Linked DNA regions of Pelodiscus sinensis. The protein of the gene in region 1 interacts with the protein of each later gene in a biochemical or structural test. Links are inferred from orthologs where the notes say so. Each region holds a gene or a part of one and is shown on either strand. Other genes may lie near its edges.

What was found.
Region 2: the proteins of STAT2 (region 1) and IFNAR1 form a complex in vitro, tested with the Homo sapiens proteins (2 studies listed by BioGRID). The link is inferred for Pelodiscus sinensis from reciprocal best matches to the Homo sapiens genes STAT2 and IFNAR1.

What each region holds. Positions count from the first base shown.
Region 1 is NC_134729.1:3,802,414-3,813,478, reverse strand, and holds the start of STAT2 (signal transducer and activator of transcription 2), read right to left. Parts: upstream 4,217-11,065; 5' UTR 4,089-4,216; coding exon 4,005-4,088; intron 1,730-4,004; coding exon 1,575-1,729; intron 354-1,574; coding exon 188-353; intron 74-187; coding exon 1-73. Other genes in the region: APOF (apolipoprotein F), read right to left, coding at 7,540-8,655; protein timeless homolog, read right to left, coding at 10,912-11,012. UniProt on the Homo sapiens protein: Signal transducer and activator of transcription that mediates signaling by type I interferons (IFN-alpha and IFN-beta).
Region 2 is NC_134711.1:183,374,949-183,386,426, reverse strand, and holds the start of IFNAR1 (interferon alpha/beta receptor 1), read right to left. Parts: upstream 4,902-11,478; 5' UTR 4,830-4,901; coding exon 4,760-4,829; intron 1-4,759. UniProt on the Homo sapiens protein: Together with IFNAR2, forms the heterodimeric receptor for type I interferons (including interferons alpha, beta, epsilon, omega and kappa).

The DNA.
Region 1 (11,065 bases):
GAATGGCCTTCTCCTCCAGCAGCAGGTTGGCGATGACGTTGGCCAGCTCCTCCGGGCGCTCCTGGTACTTGGCCTGGAAGGAAGCCAGAGGCGTTGGGATCGGGGGGGGGGGGGGGGGGCACAGACACCCTGCCCCACCCCCCTGGACCCCACCCACCTCCTCTCCCCCCAGCAGCCCGGCCCCCACCTGCAGGTTGAGCTTGGACTTGCGCAGGTTGTGTTTGAGCACGAAGTCCTCCTGGCGGGTGCCGAAGCGGCTGTACTGGTCGTCCAGCATGGCCAGAAGGGTGTGGAACAGCATGTGGGCCTGGGAGGAGTGGGACTCGGACACAGGGAGCTCGGCTGCCTGGCTCCTGGGGCAGAGACAAGGGCGCACTGCAGGGTCCCCGCCCCCAGACCGCCCCGCGCTGCCGGGAGAGCCCGGGCTGCACCCCACTCCTCCAGCGGGGACCCCCGGGGCTGCACTGTCCCTTTCCTGCCCCTCCCCCTCCAGCAGGGACCCCCGGGGCTGCACTGTCCCTTTCCTGCCCATCCCCCTCCAGCGGGGACCCCCGGGGCTGCACCGTCCCTTTCCTGCCGTCCCCCTCCAGCAGGGACCCCCGGGGCTGCACTGTCCCTTTCCTGCCCCTCCCCCTCCAGCGGGGATCCCGGGGGCTGCACCGTCCCTTTCCTGCCGTCCCCCTCCAGCAGGGACCCCCGGGGCTGCACCGTCCCTTTCCTGCCCCTCCCCCTCCAGCAGGGACCCCCGGGGCTGCACTGTCCCTTTCCTGCCGTCCCCCTCCAGCAGGGACCCCCGGGGCTGCACTGTCCCTTTCCTGCCGTCCCCCTCCAGCGGGGACCCCTGGGGCTGCACTGTCCCTTTCCTGCCCCTCCCCCTCCAGCAGGGACCCCTGGGGCTGCACCGTCCCTTTCCTGCCGTCCCCCTCCAGCGGGGACCCCTGGGGCTGCACCGTCCCTTTCCTGCCGTCCCCCTCCAGCAGGGACCCCCGGGGCTGCACCGTCCCTTTCCTGCCGTCCCCCTCCAGCGGGGACCCCCGGGGCTGCACTGTCCCTTTCCTGCCCCTCCCCCTCCAGCAGGGACCCCTGGGGCTGCACTGTCCCTTTCCTGCCCCTCCCCCTCCAGCGGGGACCCCTGGGGCTGCACTGTCCCTTTCCTGCCCCTCCCCCTCCAGCAGGGACCCCTGGGGCTGCACCGTCCCTTTCCTGCCGTCCCCCTCCAGCGGGGACCCCTGGGGCTGCACCGTCCCTTTCCTGCCGTCCCCCTCCAGCAGGGACCCCCGGGGCTGCACCGTCCCTTTCCTGCCGTCCCCCTCCAGCGGGGACCCCTGGGGCTGCACTGTCCCTTTCCTGCCCGTCCCCCTCCAGCGGGGACCCCCGGGGCATGCCAGCAGAGGTGCCTGAGGGTCGCATCTCTTCTCCTGCTCCCCCTTCCCGCAGGGCTGCCTGTGGGGGTGTCACTCCCCTCCCCCACACCAGACCACCCCCGGTTCAATCTGAGACGTCCCCAGCGCTTGCCGTGGGTCCCAGCTGCTGACTCTGCCCCCCCCATTAACCCTTCCCTCGCTGGCCGTTACCAGTTCTGGTCTTCGAGCCAGGGCGCCAGGTACTGCCGCACCTCCATGGGCAGGTGGTCGTCCGAGTACAGCTGGTGCACCTGATCCAGGTAGGCCTTCTCCAGCTGCTGCACCTCCTGCCACTGAGCCATGCTGGGGGCCGTGCCAGCCCCCCTCTGCGGAGCAAACCCAGGCAGCAGGTGAGTGGGGGCCAGGGGCTGGGACAGCAGCCTCCCCCTCCTGGGGCACAAGGAGCCTGCGTTCGGGGATGGGTCGGTCCCAGCTCTGCAGCCACCGCTGGGAAGGGAAACAGCCGCTGCCGCTGCCTCGAACCCGGCTCCCCCAGGGCCTCAGCAGCACAGAGCAGGGTCACTCCACACGGGGCAGCTGCCCCAGGCTGTGTGGAGAGGGGCTGCTGAATGGCACTGGAGGACCCCCATTGCCTGTGCCCCCCCCCAGCATTCATAGCTCATGCTAGCAACTGGCTTTCTTTTGGGTAAGAATCCAGCCCTTGGCTCCCTCAGCCCTGCCAGTGCCCCTCACTCCTGCCCCCCAGCCCTGCCAGTGCCCCTCACTCCTGCCCCCCCAGCCCTGCCAGTGCCCCTCACTCCTTCCCCCCCAGCCCCTGCCCCCACAGCCCTGCCAGTGCCCCTCACTCCTGCCCCCGCCCCTCACTCCTGCCCCCCCCCACCCTGCCGGTGCCCCTCACTCCTGCCCCCCCCACCCTGCCGGTGCCCCTCACTCCTGCCCCCCCCACCCTGCCAGTGCCCCTCACTCCTGCCCCCCAGCCCTGCCAGTGCCCCTCACTCCTGCCCCCCAGCCCTGCCAGTGCCCCTCACTCCTGCCCCCACAGCCCCTGCCCCCCCAGCCCTGCCAGTGCCCCTCACTCCTGCCCCCACAGCCCCTGCCCCCCCAGCCCTGCCAGTGCCCCTCACTCCTTCCCCCCCAGCCCCTGCCCCCACAGCCCTGCCAGTGCCCCTCACTCCTGCCCCCCACAGCCCTGCCGGTGCCCCTCACTCCTTCCCCCCAGCCCTGCCAGTGCCCCTCACTCCTGCCCCCCCAGCCTGTGCCCCCACTCCTGCCCCACAGCCCTTGCCCCCCACTCCTGCCCCACAGCCCTGCCGGTGCCCCTCACTCCTGCCCCCCACAGCCCCTGCCAGCGCCCCTCACTCCTGCCCCACAGCCCCTGCCCCCACAGCCTTGCCAGTGCCCCTCACTCCTGCCCCACAGCCCTGCCAGTGCCCCTCACTCCTGCCCCACAGCCTCTGCCCCCCCAGCCCCTGCCCCTCACTCCTGCCCCACAGCCCCTGCCAGTCCAGCCCGGCATAAAGGGAACCCACCAGGAAATCAAAGCTGAGGAAAGATGTAGCAGCAGTTGTCAGAGCACAGATGCCTCCCTAGGTCATTTAGGACAGTTTCCAGCCTCCGCCCGCTATGGCCACAGGGGCCTAGCGGCTGGACCCCCCCCCCAAGCCTGCATCCCTCCATGGGAGCGTCTGCAAGCTGGACAAAGCAGCAGCCTGTGGATGTGAAACTAGGAGAGGAGACTCAACCGCAGACACAAACCACAGGCCCCAAGCCGCAGGGCCCCCGCACGAGGGCCGTAAGCTGGGGGGCAAAGCTGGGCTGCTTTGGGGGTGCCAGGAAATGAGCCCTCCGGTTCCTGCAAAGCCCTCACCCCGTCTCACTGGGCTCCGGGGGCCTCTGCAGAGCCGCTCGCTCTGGGGAAGGTCTTTAAGGGCAGGAACTGCACAAATCCTTGGGAGGAGCCGGGGCCCTTCAGCTAAAAGGGGGAGCCGAGGGGGGGCCCAAGGCTGGGCGTTGGGAGCGAGGGGCACTGGCAGAGCTGAGGGGAGCCCAGGGGCTGTGGGGCGCAGTCAAAGCTGAGCGCCACACATTGAACACCCCCTAGTTCCGCCTTTGAACTTCAGCGCCACCCTCCCTGGCACCCAGCCACTTGACACCATCAGCGCGTGAAGCCATTTCCAAACATGCCCCCCCACCCAGGCCCGAGTCCTGCTCCCAGCTGCAAAAGCAATTTGCTCTCCTGTCAACCCCCGAGGGAAGGGAGATGGGGGGGGGGGGCGCGCGTGCCAGGGCTTGGCTAGACCAGGGCTCAGGTGAGGCACCAGGTGCCCTGCCGTCAAAGCCTGTCACCCACGGCTGAGTGCAACCCACGTCCTCGCCTCTGCATGTCCCCAGCCCTCCCTCCTGGCTCGGCTCCGGCGGGGTTGGGGCTAACCCCTTCAGGATAGGCTGAGGAGGGATTCGGTGCACCCGAGGGCAGAAAGGGCCAGGCCAGGCGGTTTCTGGCCTCACCCAGGGGCTCGGGTGATCAGACTCCTGACCGGGCTCCCCAGGGGGAAGCCAGGAAGTCAACTGCAGCTTGCATCACATGCAGAGAGGGGCGGTGTCTGCCCCACAGAGCACGTTCCCTGGGCCGGGCCTTACCTGCCAAGGGGCTGCAAGTGCCAACCACTGCCCAGAGCTGCACCCCCGCCATGACAGCCCTGCCCCCTGCTCCACAGGGTTCATGGAGGGAGGGGTGGGGCTAACACTGGTCGGGAGACTCCTGCCCCAGGGGGCAGGGCACCATGACAGCCAGCCCCGAACCGCCAATACCAGCCCCACTCCATCCAGAACCCCCAGTACCAGCCCCACCCCCCACATAAAGGGGGCACTGTGAGGAGGTAAAAAGGGCTTACACTGCTCCTTAACAACTCATCAGCTGGCAGCGACAGCAGCCCCCGGACACCCCTCCACTGCCCCCAGCCCCGTCCCCAGAACCCCCCAGTGCCGCCTTTACCCCTTGAGCCCCCAGCCTCTCCACTGCCCCCTGCACCCAGCCCCAGCTCTAACCACTAGAGCCCCCAGCCCCCCCACTGCCCCCTGCACCCAGCCCCAGCTCTAACCACTAGAGCCCCCAGCCCCCCCACTGCCCCCTGCACCCAGCCCCAGCTCTAACCACTAGAGCCCCCAGCCCCCCCACTGCCCCCTGCACCCAGCCCCAGAGCCCCCAGTGCCAGCTCTAACCACTACAGCCCCCAGCCCCTCCACTGCCCCCTGCACCCAGCCCCAGCTCTAACCACTAGAGAACCCAGCCCCAGATTCCCCAGTGCCAGCTCTAACCCCTAGAGCCCCCAGCCCCCCCACTGCCCCCTGCACCCAGCCCCAGAGCCCCCAGTGCCAGCTCTAACCCCTAGAGCCCCCAGCCCCCCCACTGCCCCCTGCACCCAGCCCCAGAGCCCCCAGTGCCAGCTCTAACCACTAGAGCCCCCAGCCCCCTAGTAGCCCCCATCCCATTGCCTGCCCCGCCCCCCTCACCTGGCTCCGAGGCTGCCCGGCTCGCTGGTGTTCTAAGCCTGCCGTGCCGGCCTCCGCGCGACCCTCCCACCGCGCAGCGACCCGCTCTTCCTCCTCCGGGAGGAGACCCCGCCCCTGCCCGACGCCGGTTGGCTGAGAGGCGGGGCAGGACACGCCTCCCTCCATCAGCGGCGGCGGGAGGGGAGGCGCTAAGCGGAAGACCGGAGCCCGGGGCCGAAGCCAGCCTACTGAATTCCCAGAAATGATGTAACAGGGGAGAAAGAGGCGGGGCCTCGGAAAGGGGGCGGAGCTATACTAAGAGAGTGAATGAGGGGCGGGGCCCGCAGAGTGGGGCGGCTTCGCCCACTCTCCCCACTGGGGAGCCCAGGCCCCAGCGGGGGGGCCAATCCAACACCCCAAGCCAAGCCCCCCAGTGCCGGCCCCTCCACTGCCCCCCTGCATCGCGTCCCCAGAGCCCCCCAGTGCCGGCCCCTCCGCTGCCCCCCTGCATCGCGTCCCCAGAGCCCCCCGGTTCCAGCCCCTCCGCTGCCCCCCTGCATCGCGTCCCCAGAGCCCCCCAGTGCCGGCCCCTCCGCTGCCCCCCTGCATCGCGTCCCCAGAGCCCCCCAGTGCCGGCCCCTCCGCTGCCCCCCTGCATCGCGTCCCCAGAGCCCCCCAGTGCCGGCCCCTCCGCTGCCCCCCTGCATCGCGTCCCCAGAGCCCCCCAGTGCCGGCCCCTCCGCTGCCCCCCTGCATCGCGTCCCCAGAGCCCCCCCGTGCCGGCCCCTCCGCTGCCCCCTGCATCCCGTCCCCAGAGCCCCCCGGTGCCGGCCCCTCCGCTGCCCCCCTGCATCCCGTCCCCAGAGCCCCCCCGTGCCGGCCCCTCCGCTGCCCCCCTGCATCCCGTCCCCAGAGCCCCCCCGTGCTGGCCCCTCCGCTGCCCCCCTGCATCCCGTCCCCAGAGCCCCCCCAGTGCCGGCCCCTCCGCTGCCCCCCTGCATCCCGTCCCCAGAGCCCCCCAGTGCCGGCCCCTCCGCTGCCCCCCTGCATCGCGTCCCCAGAGCCCCCCAGTGCCGACCCCTCCGCTGCCCCCCTGCATCGTGTCCCCAGAGCCCGTCGGTGCCGGCCCCTCCGCTGCCCCCCTGCATCCAGTCCCCAGAGCCCCCCAGTGCCAGCCCTAACCCCTAGAGCCTCCAGCCCCTCCACTGCCCCCCTGCTGAGGGACATCCCCCTTCTCTCATCACCCTGCCAGGGGTTAGTAGTCCCTGCCCGGGGCTCTCCCTGGCCCTGCAGAGGAGGGGCAGGCATGGTCTTTGGGCAATGAATCAGCTCCTGCAGTACCAGCAGTGTCGTCCCCCCCCCCGCCCCAGGGACATGCGAGGATGCAGCCCAGCCAAAGGGGGATGCCAGGCCCAGCCCCGCATGGCCCTATGCAGAGCTGCAGGGGCTCCTCTCTGCCCAGGCTGGTGCTGCACGGTTCTCTAATCTTCCTCCCCCTTCTGGGCCAGGCCCCAGCCCACGCTGCTCATGGGAGGGTGACGCGGCTCCGGGGAGCAGCTGGGTTCCTCCGCCTGGGGATGGGTCTCTCCAATAATCCGTCATTGCAGCTGGGCAGATGTTTCCACCCTAGCCAGCTGGCCCCAGAGCCCAGGCACTGCGCTGGTGTGAGTAGTGGGGTGTGCTGTACACGCTCTGCGTGGGTGTCCCCGTCCCCCAGCACCCTGACACCTGGGCTAGGTAGTGGAACCTGAAACAAAGCAAAGGGTGCGGCTGCCGGGGGGCTGAGTTGCTGGAGGTTTGGGCAGGCTTGGCAGAGGGAAGCATGAAGGAAGCAGACTAAATCCAGGGCCTGTGAACCCCTTTCCCCCGAGAGGACGAGGCTCTGCCCTGGCTCCTGTGTCAATGTCGAGCCTGCGCTGCCCTGTATCTCTGGGAAGCAAATCAACCTTCTGTTCTGCAGCTTGGCTGAGTCTCACATCCGGCTGCAGACAGGGGTGCAGGGTCGGGGGCTCCCCGACGCGGCGCCGCACCTTGGTCCTGGGCACACTGCAGGGGCCAGGGTTTGCTCACAGGGGCAGGGAGCTGGCGCTCTCTCCAGGGCCCCTGCCGTGTAGCTTCGGCTCTCAACGCACTTGTCAAAAGGCTGGGGACTGATAAATGCACCCAAGTCAAGACCAGAACCCAGGTGGCCTCGTACCCTGCTGTGACCACTAGCCCACGCTTTCCCGGTTGGTAACAAACTGCGTTAGGCAGGACGAGGCTGGGCCGGGCAGGCCACGTGACTGGGGGAAATTTGCTCAGCCAGCACCTTTGAGCCCTGCTGATCTTTATAGACACTTGGCAGCTGGCTGTCTGGGTCAGGCTAACCCTGGCGAGAGGTCATAAGCCCTTTGTCAATTTCATGCACAGGCGCCCATGCTGAGCTCGCAGGCACATGGTGGGGGTAGGGCCTTCCCACCTCCCCTGAGGCCAGACTCCAGCCCCAATGCCTGCTGTGGCTGAGACAGCAGGCCAGCAGGACTGGGTTGAGACCCAGCATCCTCGCTGCATGTAGGAGGGTGCAATTGGCTAGGCCTGAAGCTGGGCTGGCTATAAGGCAGCTCCCCTCCATGCCCCCCCCCCCAGCTGCCCCCATCACAGACACCGGCACTAGGATCAAAGCACGGGGGGTGCTCAGGTTTATTCACACTCGCCGCGTTCCCAGTGGGAAGGAGGTGGCTACCCTGAAGGGGCCAGAGAAGCTCGTGGGCAGGGGTTCAGCCGGCGCCACCTGCCGGAAGTAGCTGATCAGAGACCGCACGCCCACTTTGAATGCTGGCCTCAGCCCCAAGGCCGCCCCCACGGCCATGGGGCTCCCCATCCCGCCCGTCAGCCCCAAGAGGGCGTCGTAGCCCAGATCCATGGCGGCCTCGAGGCCCCGGTCCTGGGCCAGCTCGGTGCAGTTCCGGAAGGCGTAGTACATGCTGGTGCCCACGTTGTAGTACGTGCTGACCACGGGCACCCACTGCAGCACACTGTGGACCTTCTGCTCCCGTGCGTTGCCGCAGGCTGCCACGGTCCCGCGCCGGCTCCTCCCGGCCCGGCTGCAGCGGTGAAGCCAGGCTGGGGCCCCGCGGCCCGGCAGGGAGTAGGCGCCGTGCCGGTCGATCACGGAGAAAGCGGTGCCATTGGGCGCCACGCCGGCACAGGCAGCCCCCAGCTGGCGGCAGGCGGCGGCGGCGGCGGGGAAGGTGGCATGGGTGCTGGCCACCGGGCCCAGCAGCAGGGAGTCGAGCCGAGCCAGCCCTGAGCAGCGCTGGGGGTCCACGCCTGCCAGCTGATCCACATTGAAGAGCAAGGCGGCCCGGCCTCTCCCACCCTGCTTGGGGGCTCCGGGCAGGCTCGCTACCCCCAGGAGCAGAGCGTTGGCATCGTCCGTCCCCACCGCCTCGTAGAGCTGCAGCACCAGCGCCTCGGCCTGGTGGGGGCAGCCGGCCCCTTGGAGGGAGAGGGCCAAGGCTGCGCTGGCGAGGCTCCAGGGCAGCGGTGGGAGCTCGGAGAAACCCTCCAGGGCTGCGGGCAGCAAGTCGGGGCAGGAGACACCCCTCCTTGGGAGCCCCGGCTGGGGAAGCTGCAATGGGAGGGAGCCAAGCAAGGCCCTGGCCCCAGCCCGCTGGCCGCTGGGGAAGGGGGAGACAGCCAGGCCTGGGGGCTTGAGGGTCCCAGCGGCGCCTCCCGGGCGAGTTGTGGGGAGCAGCAAGTGCCCCTCGAGCTCAGGGCCCAGCAGGAGTAGGCAGAAACAGAGAAGTGACGGGTGCATGGCGGGCAGGTCCTTCGGGGGGCAGCGCAGACCCTGCTGAAGGGGACACGTCACAGACACAAGAATTCAGAGCCCCTCCCTGCCACCCAGGATCTGCTGCTATTGCCACAGCTGGGGGCGGGGACCAATCTTTGTCCTCTGGAGCACGGCAGCATGGCCAGCCATGCCCCAGCTGCACAGGGCTGGGCTAGGAGGGGGACTGGAACGGGGGTCACTGCAGAGCGGTAGGGGGGCAGCGTGGCCTAATGGACAGGACACAGCATTGGGATGCCGGAGGTCCCTGTCTTGCTCCCAGCTCTGCCCTTGGCCTGCCGGGCTCTGTGCCTCAGTTTCCCCATCTCTACCACACCCTGAGATCCGCAGACAGGAAGTGTGACCGGAGCAGCTGGGACCGTTCTGGCAGGGACGCCAGCCTGGCGCGAGCAGGTGGCTGCAGGTTGGGAGCAAGGGCGCCGACAAACCCCCAAGCCTCTGGAGCCCAAAGGGGGCCCCCCCGGAGCTGGGCACGGGGAGGTGGTCCCTCAACACAGATGGGTTCTGGGAGCAAAACAGGCCCCTCCTTTCCTATGCAGTTAGAAGCAGCTGCACTGAACCGGGTGGCAGGGTGCACCCCCCCCCAAGGAACCAGTGAGGCCGGTAGGCACCAATTGGGCCATTCCCCCAGGGCACTGGGCTGCCTGAGTTGGAAAAGAGCCCCCCCCCTCCCGACTGCTCACCAACATCAGCATCCAGGGGAGGGCAGGGAGCAAATTCCCACCCTCGATTCAGCCCAAGGGACCCACACAGCATAGAGCTTCCATCCCCCCCAGGAAATAGGGCATCCCCCCCCCCCCCCACTGCCAGGGAATTGCACGCTGAGGGGGGAGAATGATGTAATAGCAGTCCCCCCCATAACAGTCCCCCCCCCAGTGAGAGAGCCACCCCATCGGGTTTTGGCACCTGACGCTCGTGCAAAGGCCTAGTGTAAACGTGCCCCCTCCCCGTGCGAGAGCAAACCGCGGCAGCAGCGGCGTTAGGGCTTCTGCTCACCTGGGGACAGATGAGACCAGGAGCTCCTGGGTGCGGGGAGGGATGGTAGGATGCCTGGCCCGCCCGGCCCCTCTTATAGGCCACCGGGGGGAGGTCACTAGGCTAGGGGCCCCCTTATCAGGCAGCTGATCAGCCCACCGGTCCCTGCTCCCTTCTCTCCGGGGCGGGTGCAGGAGCCTCAGGCTGGGGGGCCAGCCCCTTGTGGGGCAGGCAGCAGGGGAGGTGGGGACTGGGAGGGAGGGGAGGGCAGCGAGATGTGGGTGAAGCTGGCCCAGGCCCCCCTCCTCAGGCCAGCTCTGGTGCAGGAGGCAGTGCGGGGGAGGGCAGAGCCAACCCCCAGCCTGGGGCTGCCACAGGGAGGGGCGCTCAGAACCCCCCATTGCAACAGGGAGATAAGGGAGCAGGTTCAGCCCATTTTATTTTGGCCTTTGCCCATTCGCAATGACACAGCAAACAAGGGGGGGGGGTGCGCGACTCCTGCTGGAAACTAAACGAGGAAGGGGGCTGGGGTGCAGGCCCCACGCAGGGAACAACCCGGGGAGGGGGGCGTTAAGGCCTCTGGGGGCGCAGCGAGGCACCAGCAGAACTAACGCCTCCCTCTGCTGAGCACACCAAGGCACAGCTGCTCCAGCCCCACTGATCCAGCCCTACTGCTCCAGCAGGGGCCCCTCCTGGCTGGCTGACAGGCCCCAGCAGATCCACCATCCAGCCCCAGGCATCATGGCACCTCCTGGGGGGGAGGGGGGGTTCCCACGCTCAATCCACTGGGATTTGGGGGGGGGGGGGCAGAGGGGTCTGTGTCCTGCTGGGTGGACACTGGGGCATCTGGGCCTGGCCAGGACAGAGGGGCTGGGCCTGGGTCTCCCCTCCCCCAAGATGCCCCCTTCCCACGTGAGGCTGCAGCCCCCAGGCAGGCCACTTCCCGGTGACTCCCTTGGGGGAGGCAGCCACACGAGGGGCAAGAAACAATTCAGCCTTGGGCCCCAGAACCCAATTCCCAGGGGTCCCCCCACCCTGGGGCTTTGATCCCTCGGAGGGGGAGGGGGAAGGGTCAGCCCTCAATGCCAGGGGGACGGGGGCTGCCTGGCTCCATAGTGCCCCCTGCTGCCTGGCTCCAGCCCCCCCAGCCTAGCTGCCAAGCAGCGAGTGGAGGAGTCAGTGTCCAAGGCAGGGCCAGGCCTGCCCAGAGCAGCCGGCAGGGGTGCTGGAGGCTCCGGTCCGGCCCCTTTAATCCTCTTCCTCCTCCTCAATGCGCAGGCGCTTCCTGCGGCTGGGGGGCCGCGCCCCCTCCCCGTCCGAATCTGGGGCCGGCCGAGCTGGCGCTGCCACTGAAAGGTAGAATGAAGGAGGGAGCTCAGGCCAGGCACCCAGCCACGTGCCC
Region 2 (11,478 bases), on another chromosome or scaffold:
GTACATTTTTTTAGAAGGCTGGCTGGCTCAGTCCAAGGTCATGCTGGGTCCTGGCACTGGTTCCTAAAATTCATTTAGTGCAGCTCGCAACAGGGGTAGTTAACGGGACCCAGTATGAGCTGGGACTGAGTGCTTGCAATGCAATCCCCTATTGATTAGTCGTCAAAAATGTTGTTGATTACATGATCAATGAATTGTATGCTTAACATCCCTACTAGGTAAACCACCTTCACAAGAAGAGTAGTTAGGAGCTCTGAGCATTTGTTTACACTGGTGCTTTACAGAGCTGTAACTTAATAGACTTTGGGTGTTTTTTCACACCCTTGAGCAAGAAAGTTACAGCGCAGTAAATTGCCACTGTGGACAAGCCATTATGGTGTGAAGTTGAGCATATATGTCAGTGATGGGCAACCTAAGCTATTGAACAGGCCACTTTGCCCCTCTTCATCTCATATTGTCGCAACCAAGACAGTCTCCTTGTAGCACTGGAATGGAATTTTATAACTAATAAGTCAGTTATAATAAAAGGTATGTTTTAGCAAAAGGATTGTATTAAACTTAAATTCAAGATGTAGGCGTCACAGAGGGCCAGGCAGCTTTGTTATCTTAGCTTCATCTTTGTTTGATGTTAGCATGTTAAAGTAAAGGGATGGAATATTGTAATATATAGTGATGTTAGTGTTAGTAAGGCCTTGTAGTAGATAGAAAGAAGTTTAATGTTGAAAGACTTTGTAACTTTTAACAAAGTTATTTAGTAGTACCTCTTTGTTCCATGCTGCAATTCTGTAAGGCTACGTCTACACTGGCCCCTTTTCCGAAAGGGGAATGCTAATTTTACAGGTCGTAATAGGGAAATCCGTGGGGGATTTAAATATCCCCCGCGGCATTTAAATAAAAATGTCCGCCGCTTTTTTCCGGCTTTTAGAAAAGCCGGAAAAGAGCATCTACACTGGCCCCGATCCTCCGGAAAAAAGTAGGAATAAGAGATCCTCCGGAAAAGGGCTTTTTTCCGGAGGATCGGGGCCAGTGTAGATGCTCTTTTCCGGCTTTTCTAAAAGCCGGAAAAAAGCGGCGGACATTTTTATTTAAATGCCGCGGGGGATATTTAAATCCCCCACAGATTTCCCTATTACGACCTGTAAAATTAGCATGCCCCTTTCGGAAAAGGGGCCAGTGTAGACGTAGCCTTAAATGTATTGTTTGCGTGAATGAGAGAGAGAATGTTTGAGGAGAGAGAAGCGTACAGGCCTCTGCCTGCTCAAATGGTCAGAGGTGCTTCGGAAGGACTCTGAAGGACTCTGAAGCACCAAATAATTATCAACTAAGTAAACAACTCAAAAGACACAGACTACCCAGGCAGACTGATGAGCGCTGAAGCTAGAGGCAAGCACCACTTGATAGGGAACCAATCATAACTTTTGCCAGAAAGACAACACCCAGGAGGGGTTGTCAGCTTACTGATACCAGATGACTGTGACAACTTCTTATCAATAAGCACATGTCCTAGGAAGACTGATTGTGAAGCTGAATGACTGACTAAGGCCTGATAAGGCAAAATGCATAGACTTGCATGGAAGGAAAGTCCTATAAAGGATTGGGTATCTGATTCTTCTGGTTCTATCCTGCTAAGATCAAGATGAGGAGGGGCATCAGTCCGTACTGACATGAACCCGGCTCCTATCTGGTCAATAGATTGGGCCGAGCAACATACTGGTAACTATTCATCTGCAGGATGAGTGTATGTGTGAGTAAATGCATATGCTACTTTGTTATATTGTCAATAAATGCGGCGTGTTGCCTTATCACCCTGAAAAATATTCCATATGCTTCTTATAAGCATAACATCCTGGGATGGAGTAGTTTTGCTAACTTCGCTTGCATACTTTGAATTTGCAAGGTGTACTGACTAAATCATAGCAGTTCTTTGTTTGAATGCAGGAGTAGGGATGTAAGCGACTAATCGACTATCCGATAAACGCAATGATGCTCACAGCACATGCCGAGGGCCACAACTACTAAGCAAACGCTTATTGGATAGCCAACACACTAGTTGACTAGTCACTTCCTGCCCCCTTTGCTGCCTTTACCACAAAGCCTAGCCTCCATGCGGGTGATTCTGATTTGAAACGTACAAGAGCCCCCGATTCTTGTACAAGTTCTTATTGACTAATAGAATAGTTGATGGAAAGTTAACATCCCAATGCAGGAGTGCACAGCTTTTACAGTCATGTTGTATGCAATCAGCATACACCTCACTTCATGTGTCATGTCACTTTTATAATACCAGTACAAAAAAATGACAGATTGAAACCAGTAGAATCTAGCAACTTTGCTCATGTCTTGGGGCCTCACATAGAACCCCAATGAGCCACATATGGTTCTCGGGCCATAGGTTGCCTACCACTGATATATGTCATTGTTCGCAGCAGTGCAAGCTAGCTGGCTATCCAAGAGAATCAGTAGTGCTGTCAAATGCAGAGCTAAATAGAAAAAAAATGCTGACTGACTTTTTACTTAGTAATCTTTGGGAGTAACTTGTAAGTGGAGTTTTATGCCACCTACAGACAGACGTGTCATTTTAAAGATGACAATATCCTTTTGACTTCAAAGGAACTGCCACTTCTCACTCCATTTGTACACATAAAATGTTCCCAAGCCATACTCCCCTGAGTTCACCTCAAATAAATCCTTAATTTCCATGACAAGCATTCCCCTCTTGCACACTCACACACCATTTGGTTATTTCACATGAAATCATTTCAGTCAGATTAACATATCAGGGAAAAGAAACTTCAGATAATCACAAGAAACTATTTTCTCATCTAAAGTTACCTTATGTTTGAGGATCAGACTGAAAATAGTTGTAAAGATTATTGCATCTACTCATATGACTACAGAGTTTTTCTTTGTTGTTATTTTTTTTTAAAAGGGAACCTAAGTGCCTCTCTGTGGAGGAGTCTGCATAGCCTGATGCTTGTGTTACAACTTGCTCAGTAGTTACAGTTATTGCAGTGCTTGGATCTGTAATGTGGTTTTGTAGAAGTTGCAAAACAAATGGGCTTGTTTTAACTGATTACAGCTTACAGTAAAATAAGAAAGTGGTTAAGTCTCCCTCTGCTGTGTTCTGATTTCCCTTGGATTTAAAAAATGAACTGACTCACAACACTCTCTACGCCAGGGCTACTCAATTCCAGAAACCCCAGGGGCCACAATAATACTCACAGCGCATGCGGAGGGCCACAACTAAGTGTGGTTGCAGATACTTGCAAATATATATGCAAATAGCTTCCTTCACATTGATGGGCATGAATACAAAGATTAATGCAAGACTACACAACATGCAGACCCCATTTAAGTCAGTTCTGCCTATATTAATAAAATGAAATATTTACCCGATTTCTATGCATATGACAGCACTTTTAATGAGCAATGACAGTCCAGAAATTTAACTGCTAAAATGCATATCAAAAGAAGATCATCATATTAATTCACCGTTGTGGAGCATGCTCCCATTGGAAGCCATGTTCAAAAGGTCCCACCCATGGGTCACTTGTTGAGCCTCACATAAACCCAAACTACACCGTGGGCCACAAATGGCTGTGGGCCGCATATATGCTAATATAGTAACAGCACTGCCCTGAGCACATTAGTCACAGTCGATGTAATTAGGACCAACACAGTGTCAGTGTAGACATAGCAATCTATAGAAGCACTCTCACTGAAGATCTGCATCCACAGACACTGACTCTTCAATGTGCCAGAGGATGCTCAATCCCCAGCTGTGTCCAAGACTTCATCGTCCTGTCCCTGCTCCACGTTTTCCTACTCTGTTCTATCCCCTCCCACCAGCACACTGTCTATTTACCCTTTCCTCCCGCCTCTCATGCACACCATGAAACAGCTGATTGCGGCAGGTGCAAAAGGCTGGCGGGTGAGGGAGAAGGTGCCAGTGGGTGCTCAGCACATAGGACAGACTGGGGCAACTGCCCCATGCTTTGTGGGGTGTGGGTTCTAAGACAGCCTAGGGAGTTAGTGGAAAGCCTAGTGCCAGCAGCAGCAAGAGACCTGTCCCCAGCTTGTCTCATTCCATTCCACCCTGACAGTTCTTGACTAGGGATTGAACATCCCTACTCCTGGCATTGCTCTGGGGACCAAAACTGGAGAGAGAGGGCAGGGGCTTCGGAGAAGGGATGGAGTGTGGACAAAGAGGAGGCAGAGGGGACAGGGGCACACTGTCCCAGGCCCCGCACTCCCTAGGGATGGCACTGCTCAGCACCCACCAGTTATTCCCCGGGGTGCCCCAGAGGAGTCAGCGCCTAGCCCCTACACAAGGCGCCCAGGCGGCACACAAGCGACGGAACGTGGGCAGTGGCTGTGCTGATCAATCCCATACTGTGGGCAGGGCCGATTCAGCTTCCACATCCCACGAAGGCCGCTCTAATGCTGAGCGCCGGGGGGGGGGGGGGTTACTGGGGTCTAAGCGCCCCCCTCTAACCGCTAACTGGGCCGAGCCCCGGCTGGATCCAGCTTCAGGCGGACACCGCGCAGCCGGGCCCTGTCCCCCCTCCCCTTCCCCGCCGCTCTGGGGGCGGCGCTGGCTGGCGGGCCGGGTCGCGGCACACACAGGCCCCGCTCAACAGGCGGCGGCGACTCCAGGGCTGGACCCGCAGCCCCGCACGGCGGGCACAGAGCGGCCGGGGCAGGCCCCGCGCCCCCGGAAGGGCCCCTGCCCGCCCCCCGGCCACGCCGCCGCGCTTACTTGCGCCGAGGGCAGCTGTCACCAGCAGCAGCAGCAGCGGCGGCGCCCACAGATCTGCTGGCGGCGCCATCCTCCCGCGGGGGCTCTGGCGTCCGGGGCGCTGCTGTCACCGGCTGCGCGTCTCAGCGCCGGGCCCGGCTCACGGGATAACAGACTTCAACGGAAAACAGCCTCGCGGCACCCGCCCCGCCCCCGGGGCCGCAGCGCGCATGCGCTTCCCGGCTTCGGAGAAACCGCTTGTCTTCCCAGAAACCCGCGAGGAGCGAGAGCGAGAGCGAGCGGGGGCGGCGTGGGGAGTGACGTCTCGTCTAGGGACCGCTGCTGCGTTCTCCCCTGAGTTTGTGTTTGTGGTTCCTGCCCACGGGCAGCGTGACAACGGGCGTGGTGGGGCCCGTTTCTGGGACTGCACGGAACTCAGCGCAGTGCCCTGTCCTCAGTCTGCGCTGGGACCAGCTCCCAGTAACATGGGGGTAGATAGATTGGCCGAGATCGCGAGCACGAGGTGTTTTATTGCAAGCCCCGCTCAGTAGTTACTGTAAGCGCATAAATTAGTTTTTTGGGGGGAAGGAGGAAAAGCTGCTCCTTCCATTTCCTTGCACCTTGGGTCTTGCTAAATTCATGGTTATGAATAATGCATCATGAACAGTGAAACCTGGTCCCCTCTCCCCTTGAATCTGGCCTTTTTCCTGCCTTTATAGCATTTCTCAAAATGGGGGAACCTGGCCCAAAAGGGAGTTGGGGGAGAGAAGGGTGGAATTATACTTACTGCTGCACTGCACTCCTTCAGAGCTGGGTAGCCAGCAAGCAGTACATAGCTTGCTAGCAGAAGCGAAGAAATAAGGGGCTTGTACGTGCCAGGTTGTGATACCTCCTTTTTGGGTTAGGACCCCTACAATTAAAATACCATGACATTTCAGATTTAAATAGCTGAAATCATGAAATTTGCAATTTTTAAAATCCTATGACTGTGCAATGGACCAAAATGACTGTGAATTTGGTAAGAGCCTAATTATTCTGGGGCTAGTGCCAGCAAAAAGATGCTCCTTGTCCTAAAGAACTTAATGTGTCTCTTAACTGATACTATTTTACTGCATTGGATTGTGTTTTAGTTAAGAAGAGATTTGCAATGCACCTAATTTATTTTAAAAAATATGTTAATGTTTTTAACAGAGAATGAGGATGCTGAATTGTGTTGAGAAATGTTTCCCTCCTATTGGATGTGTCAGAATGCCTCTGCTGCGTGCCCCCTCCGGGCCTGACTCCCCCCTCCCACAGAGAAAGGAAAGTCCCATCACCCGCCTCTGGGGACTTACCCAGTAAGTTCCCAGAATGCCAGGGAGCTAGGGCAAGGAAGCAGCCAGCACATTTCCCAAACCTCCGAAAGTGATGCACAGCTGTAGGACTTCTGTCTGCCCCGCGGGAAGCTGCCACTACCTCCATTGTTGTTCGAGGTATGTAGTGGGGCTTCTTGGGGATGGGGGGAAATGGGAGGCCCAGAACGCCTTGTGATCAACTGGTTGAGGCCTCGGGATCGACCAGTCGATCGCGATTGACTGGTTGGTGAACACGGCACTAAGGCTATGTCTACGCTGCAGGCTTCTTGCGCAAGAACTTTTTGCAGAAGAGATCTTCTGCAAAAAGTTCTTGCACAAGAGCGTGTCCACACTGCCATGCGCTTTTGCACAAGAAAGCGTCCACACTGCCATGGCCGCCCTTGTGCAAGAAAGCTCTGATGGCCATTCGCAGAATGGCTATCAGAGCACCTGTGCTTTTTCCAATAGGGGTTTCTTGCACAAGCAAGTAGGGTTTGGTGTGTGACTATCACTACCTGTACAGAGACAGCAAGGCCAGGAAGGCAATGCTGGTGTTTTTAGGGATTTGATGCACACAGGCACAGACAGGAATTCCGCACACTACAGGCAGGTAGATAGTGGTGAGATGCCTCATAATCCTGACAGGGCTGTCCCTTTCTGTGCTGGTGCCGTACACAGCCAAGTACCACCTCTGCAGTAGGAACGGCCACTCCATGGGGATGGGGAACTGCAGGGGCAGATGGTGTGCGGGACAGGGTTGTCAACTCTCCTACATCAGATGGACTCGATGCTATTTGCTGAAATGGCATCTGGTCCATCCAGTCTGAGGGAGTTAGCAATCTGGCACAGGACAGAGAAGCTCACCTGTGCCTCAGTGCAACAAGTGGCAGCATGAGTGGTAAGTGGTGCAGAGCTGGAGAGCAGAAGGCAGTTGTGCTGCTGGCTGGAGAGAAGCAGCACTTTGAAGGGGAAATCACTACTTTCCTCCTGCCTTTGGCTGCACTTCTGCTCCCAGCTCCTTCGGTGTAGGTGTCCTGGTGTCCTTCAGACCATTCTTGCACCACTCACTGCCACCTGGTGAGCAATGGCTGGGCACAGAGTCTGCGGAGGGGGGCACGGTGGTGGCCGGGAGATGGGGGTGGGAGTTGCCAAAATCAGTGCTAAATCCATGGGGGAGGATAGAGGATGGTGTTGGGAGTTGTCAGAGCTGGCACTGAGCCCACTGTGGGACGGGGAGCTGGCCAGAAGAAGGGCTGTTGTGGCTGTTGCTGAGCCCGTGGGAGTGGGTGCTGGCAAGGAGATGGGGATGAGGGCTGCCTGAACACTGGCACTGAGCCCACGGGGGGAGAGGGAGAGGGAGGGGGAGGGAGGTATGGACAGAGGACTGTCTCTAGGCATACACAGCTTGCTGCATATACCTAAGGACGGTCTTGAATCCTGTGTACCCCTGGGGAAAGTCACAGCATGTTGTGAATTGCCTCACCACAAGTCCATTCACTATATCCTCCACACTGCTGAGCGTCAGAGTCCTGCACAACAGGAAATGATTAATGGCCTTGGATGCTTGCAAACCCACAGGAAGTGCTGCAGTTATACTTTTTGAATCTGCAACAAAAGCTTCAGCGGGGTAGCCGAGTTAGTCTGTAACTGGAAAAACTTAAAAAACAACAAATAGTCTTGCAGCACCTTAAAGACTAACAAAACATGTAGATGGGATCATGAGTTTTTGTGGGCACAACCCACTTCTTCAGATGAATGGAATTATTAAAGATCCAGTTTCTAAATAAATATGGGATGAAGGGGGAGAGAGAAGGAAAAAAAGGGGAAAGGAATAGTCAATGACAGTGTCCATGCTACATAAAGCTGATAGAAAAGGTGCAAATTGTTCTTAAGTACCCATTGTTTGTTTTTTATGTCATTAGGTTGTGGAATGTAGTGGGCCATCCAGCCAATGTCTTTATTCATACCTCTGTGATAGGAATCAAACTTGTAAATTAAGTTATGTTCTAAGGCAGTGGTCCCCAATGCCATGCCCGCAGGCGCCATGGCGAGTGACCAGGGCCGGCCCAAGCCATTCTTGCAGCCCGGGTGCACGGCGCATACATGGTGCTGCGCCTGGGCATGTGGCGCATGAGAGGCCCCGCCCCCCAAGCGCGCGGCTCATGCGCGGCCCCGGGCGCCGGGTGCCCGGCAGCCCCAAAAGATTGGGAACCACTGTTCTAAGGCTTTCCTATGTAATTGGCTTGTGGAATTGGTCTGAAACAATAGGGTGACTTTGAGACCCATTAATGAGTGTCTGGGGAAGTTAAAATGTTCCCCAACAGTTTCTGTGAGTTGCCTTTTTGGATATCTGATTTGTGTTTATTAATTATCTGCAACATCATAAGAACAGTGCAGAGCTTGGTGTGCTCCATGCTTCTGTCAAAGAAAGACATTGAAAGGTGCTGAATGGGTTTGTGGGATTTAAAAAACCAAATAAAATAGTGATGGTATTATGGGATGGTAGAGATTGCATGCTGGGAACTAAACTCCTAGCTCCCAGAGATCCCCATGTGTCAGTTCCATCCTGCAATACTCAGTGAAAATTTCCTAAAAAGCATCACACCAAATGGCAGATGAGATACCTACCTATGGTGCCCTGAAGACACAAGCACTCCTGTTGAGTATCTGCCACGCTAATGCAAGCAATGATACACAGACTGGTGTATTTACACCAATGTAAGTGGCATTGACCAGTTTGTAGTATAGTGGCATTAGAAGCAGAGGGTAAATAAAGGTTGGGAGACCTAAAACTAGAAAAGATGACCCAAACTATAAAAGCCTTTTATTATCTGCGAAGTTTAATAAACTACTGGGAAGGACAAGCAGGAGTCAAAGAGCCAATCCTATATAGATGGGTCTGAGGCTAGATGATGATGTTTGTCTTTATAATTCACTTCATTCTTAGATCCAGTCTTGCGCAAAAACAGCAGTTGCAACCACTTCTAACTGGCAAGGCTCTTTTGAAGCTCTCAAGCCAGCGTATTCCAGACCATAAATATACAATCACCATTTTCTATTTTTCTAGTAACATTTTCTATTATGGTAGCAATCAGCAGGGCTCGACAAACTATACAATCTTCTTGCCTGTGGTGAGTAGATTTCAGCTGCGTGCCCCGTTCATTCGCGGCGCGCGCATGTGCAAAGTGGCTCTTGCGCATGAGCAGTACGCGACTGGCAAGCGGTTTTTGCCACCGTTTGTCAAGCCCTGGCAATCAGGATAGGAGCCTTGTTATGCTGGGTGTTACATTAACGCAGAAAAGAGAAATCTGCCCTGAAAGCCTTACAAGTTGATGACACGAAGGGTACGTCTACACTACAGCGCTAGTTCGAACTAACTTAGTTCGAATTAGTTAATTCGAACTAAGCTAATTCGAACTAACGCGTCTAGAACTAAAAACTAGTTCGAATTAGCGTTTTGCTAATTCGAACTAGCAAGTCCACATTGAGTGGACTCTGAACAGGGCTTAAGGATGGCCGGAAGCAGTGCCGGCAGGGCATAAGAGGAGGACTTAGAGCGTGGAGATGCTGTCTCAGGCTAGCCGAGGGCTGCGCTTAAAGGGTCCCGACCCCCACCCCGGACACACAGTTCTAAGGGGTGCCCCGCTTGCAAAGAAGTTCTGGCTTGGAGTGCCCGGAGTACCCACACTGGGCACATCACACCACTCGGCCATCAGCCCGGCTGCACTTGCCGCAGGCTGCCATCTGGGGAGAGGGGGCAATTGGGGGGCTGCAGGAGAGCTTCCACCCCCAGAAGCCCGCAGAGCCAGCCCAGTCCTCCCCATCGGGGGCTCGTACCCCATTCCTCCCTCACCTCCTTCCACTTACCCTTCCCTAGCCCCCCTTCTTATTGATGTACAAAATAAAGATAACGTTTCTTCCAACATTGACTCTGTCTTTATTGAACAAAACTGGGGGAGACCGGGAAAAGGAGGTGGGAGAGGGGAAGAGAAAGGCTGGGAGAAGGGAGGGCAACTAACATGATCAGGGGTTGGGAACAGGTCCCAGATGAAGAAAGGCTACAGAGACTGGGACTGTTCAGCTTAGAAAAGAGGAGACGGAGGGGGGACAGGATAGAGGTCTCTAAAAGCAGGGGTTGGGTGGAGAGGGTGCATTCAGAAAAATTTCTTCCTGAGTTCCCATAAAGAAGGACTAGAGGACACCAAAGGAAAGGAATGGGTAGCAGGCTTGAAACTAGTAAGAGAAAGTTGTTCTTCTTCCCAAAGCAAATAGTTAACCTGCGGAACTCCTTGCTGCAGGAGGCTGTGAAGGCTACAACTAGAACAGAGTTTAAAGGGAAGTGAGATCAAGTCATGGAGGTTGAGTCCATGGAGTGGTCTTAGCCAGGGGGTAGGAGTGCTGTCCCTGCCCAAAGTTTGTGGAAGGCTGGAGAGGGATGGCACGAGACAAATGGCTTGGTCACTGTCTTCGGTCCATCCCCTCCAGGGTCCCTAGGGTTGGCCGCTGTCAGCAGACAGGCTACTGGGCTAGATGGACCTTTGGTCTGACCCAGGACGGCCATTGTAAGCTCAGGGCTCAGGGTCGGGGGTCTCAGTGGACCCCCTTGATTTTCATGCACACCTGCTCCTGGGTGGCCAGGCTGGCAGCTCTCCTGCCCTAGCCGGCCACTTTCCTGTGCCTAGTGCGGAGATCGTGGACAAGGTCCACGATGTCCGCAGTAGCCCAGGAAGGTGCTTGCCTCTTGCGGTCCAGGGCAAGCTCCCAGGAGCCGCCAGCCTGGTCCCGGGAAGAGGGGGTGGGCTGGGGGACATCGGGTGGGTGGCTCTGTGCTGTGCCAGGTGCAGGGTCTGCTGGTGGGTGCTGGCAGGCTTGCACCTGGCACGGGCACCGTAGCCAGCCCATGCCCCTTTAAGGGGTCCGGGGCCGGGAGGGGGGCATAGAGTTTCCCTGGTGTTGGCCAGAGTGGCCACCAGGGAAACCTGGGGAGGGCTAGCCTCCCACTAGTTCGAATTAAGGGGCTACACACCCCTTAATTCGAACTAGCTAGTTCGAACTAGGCTTAATCCTCGTAAAATGAGGTTTACCTAGTTCGAACTAAGCGCTCCGCTAGTTCGATTCAAATTCGAACTAGCGGAGCGCTAGTGTAGCGCCTATTAAAGTTAGTTCGAACTAACTTTGTAGTGTGGACATACCCGAAGGGTTTATCAGCATGTAAAAGACGTGCCACTTCAACTATACTGATATAATGTGTGCAATTATACCCGCATAAAAGGGTTATGCAGATATGGTTTTGTCTTATATGGGAAGGGAAGGTGTGTCTAGACTACAGGGTGGCCTTTTTTCGAAAAAACTTCCCCTGCATCTACAGTGCTGCCATGTTCTTTCAAAAGTAAATTGAAAGAACGC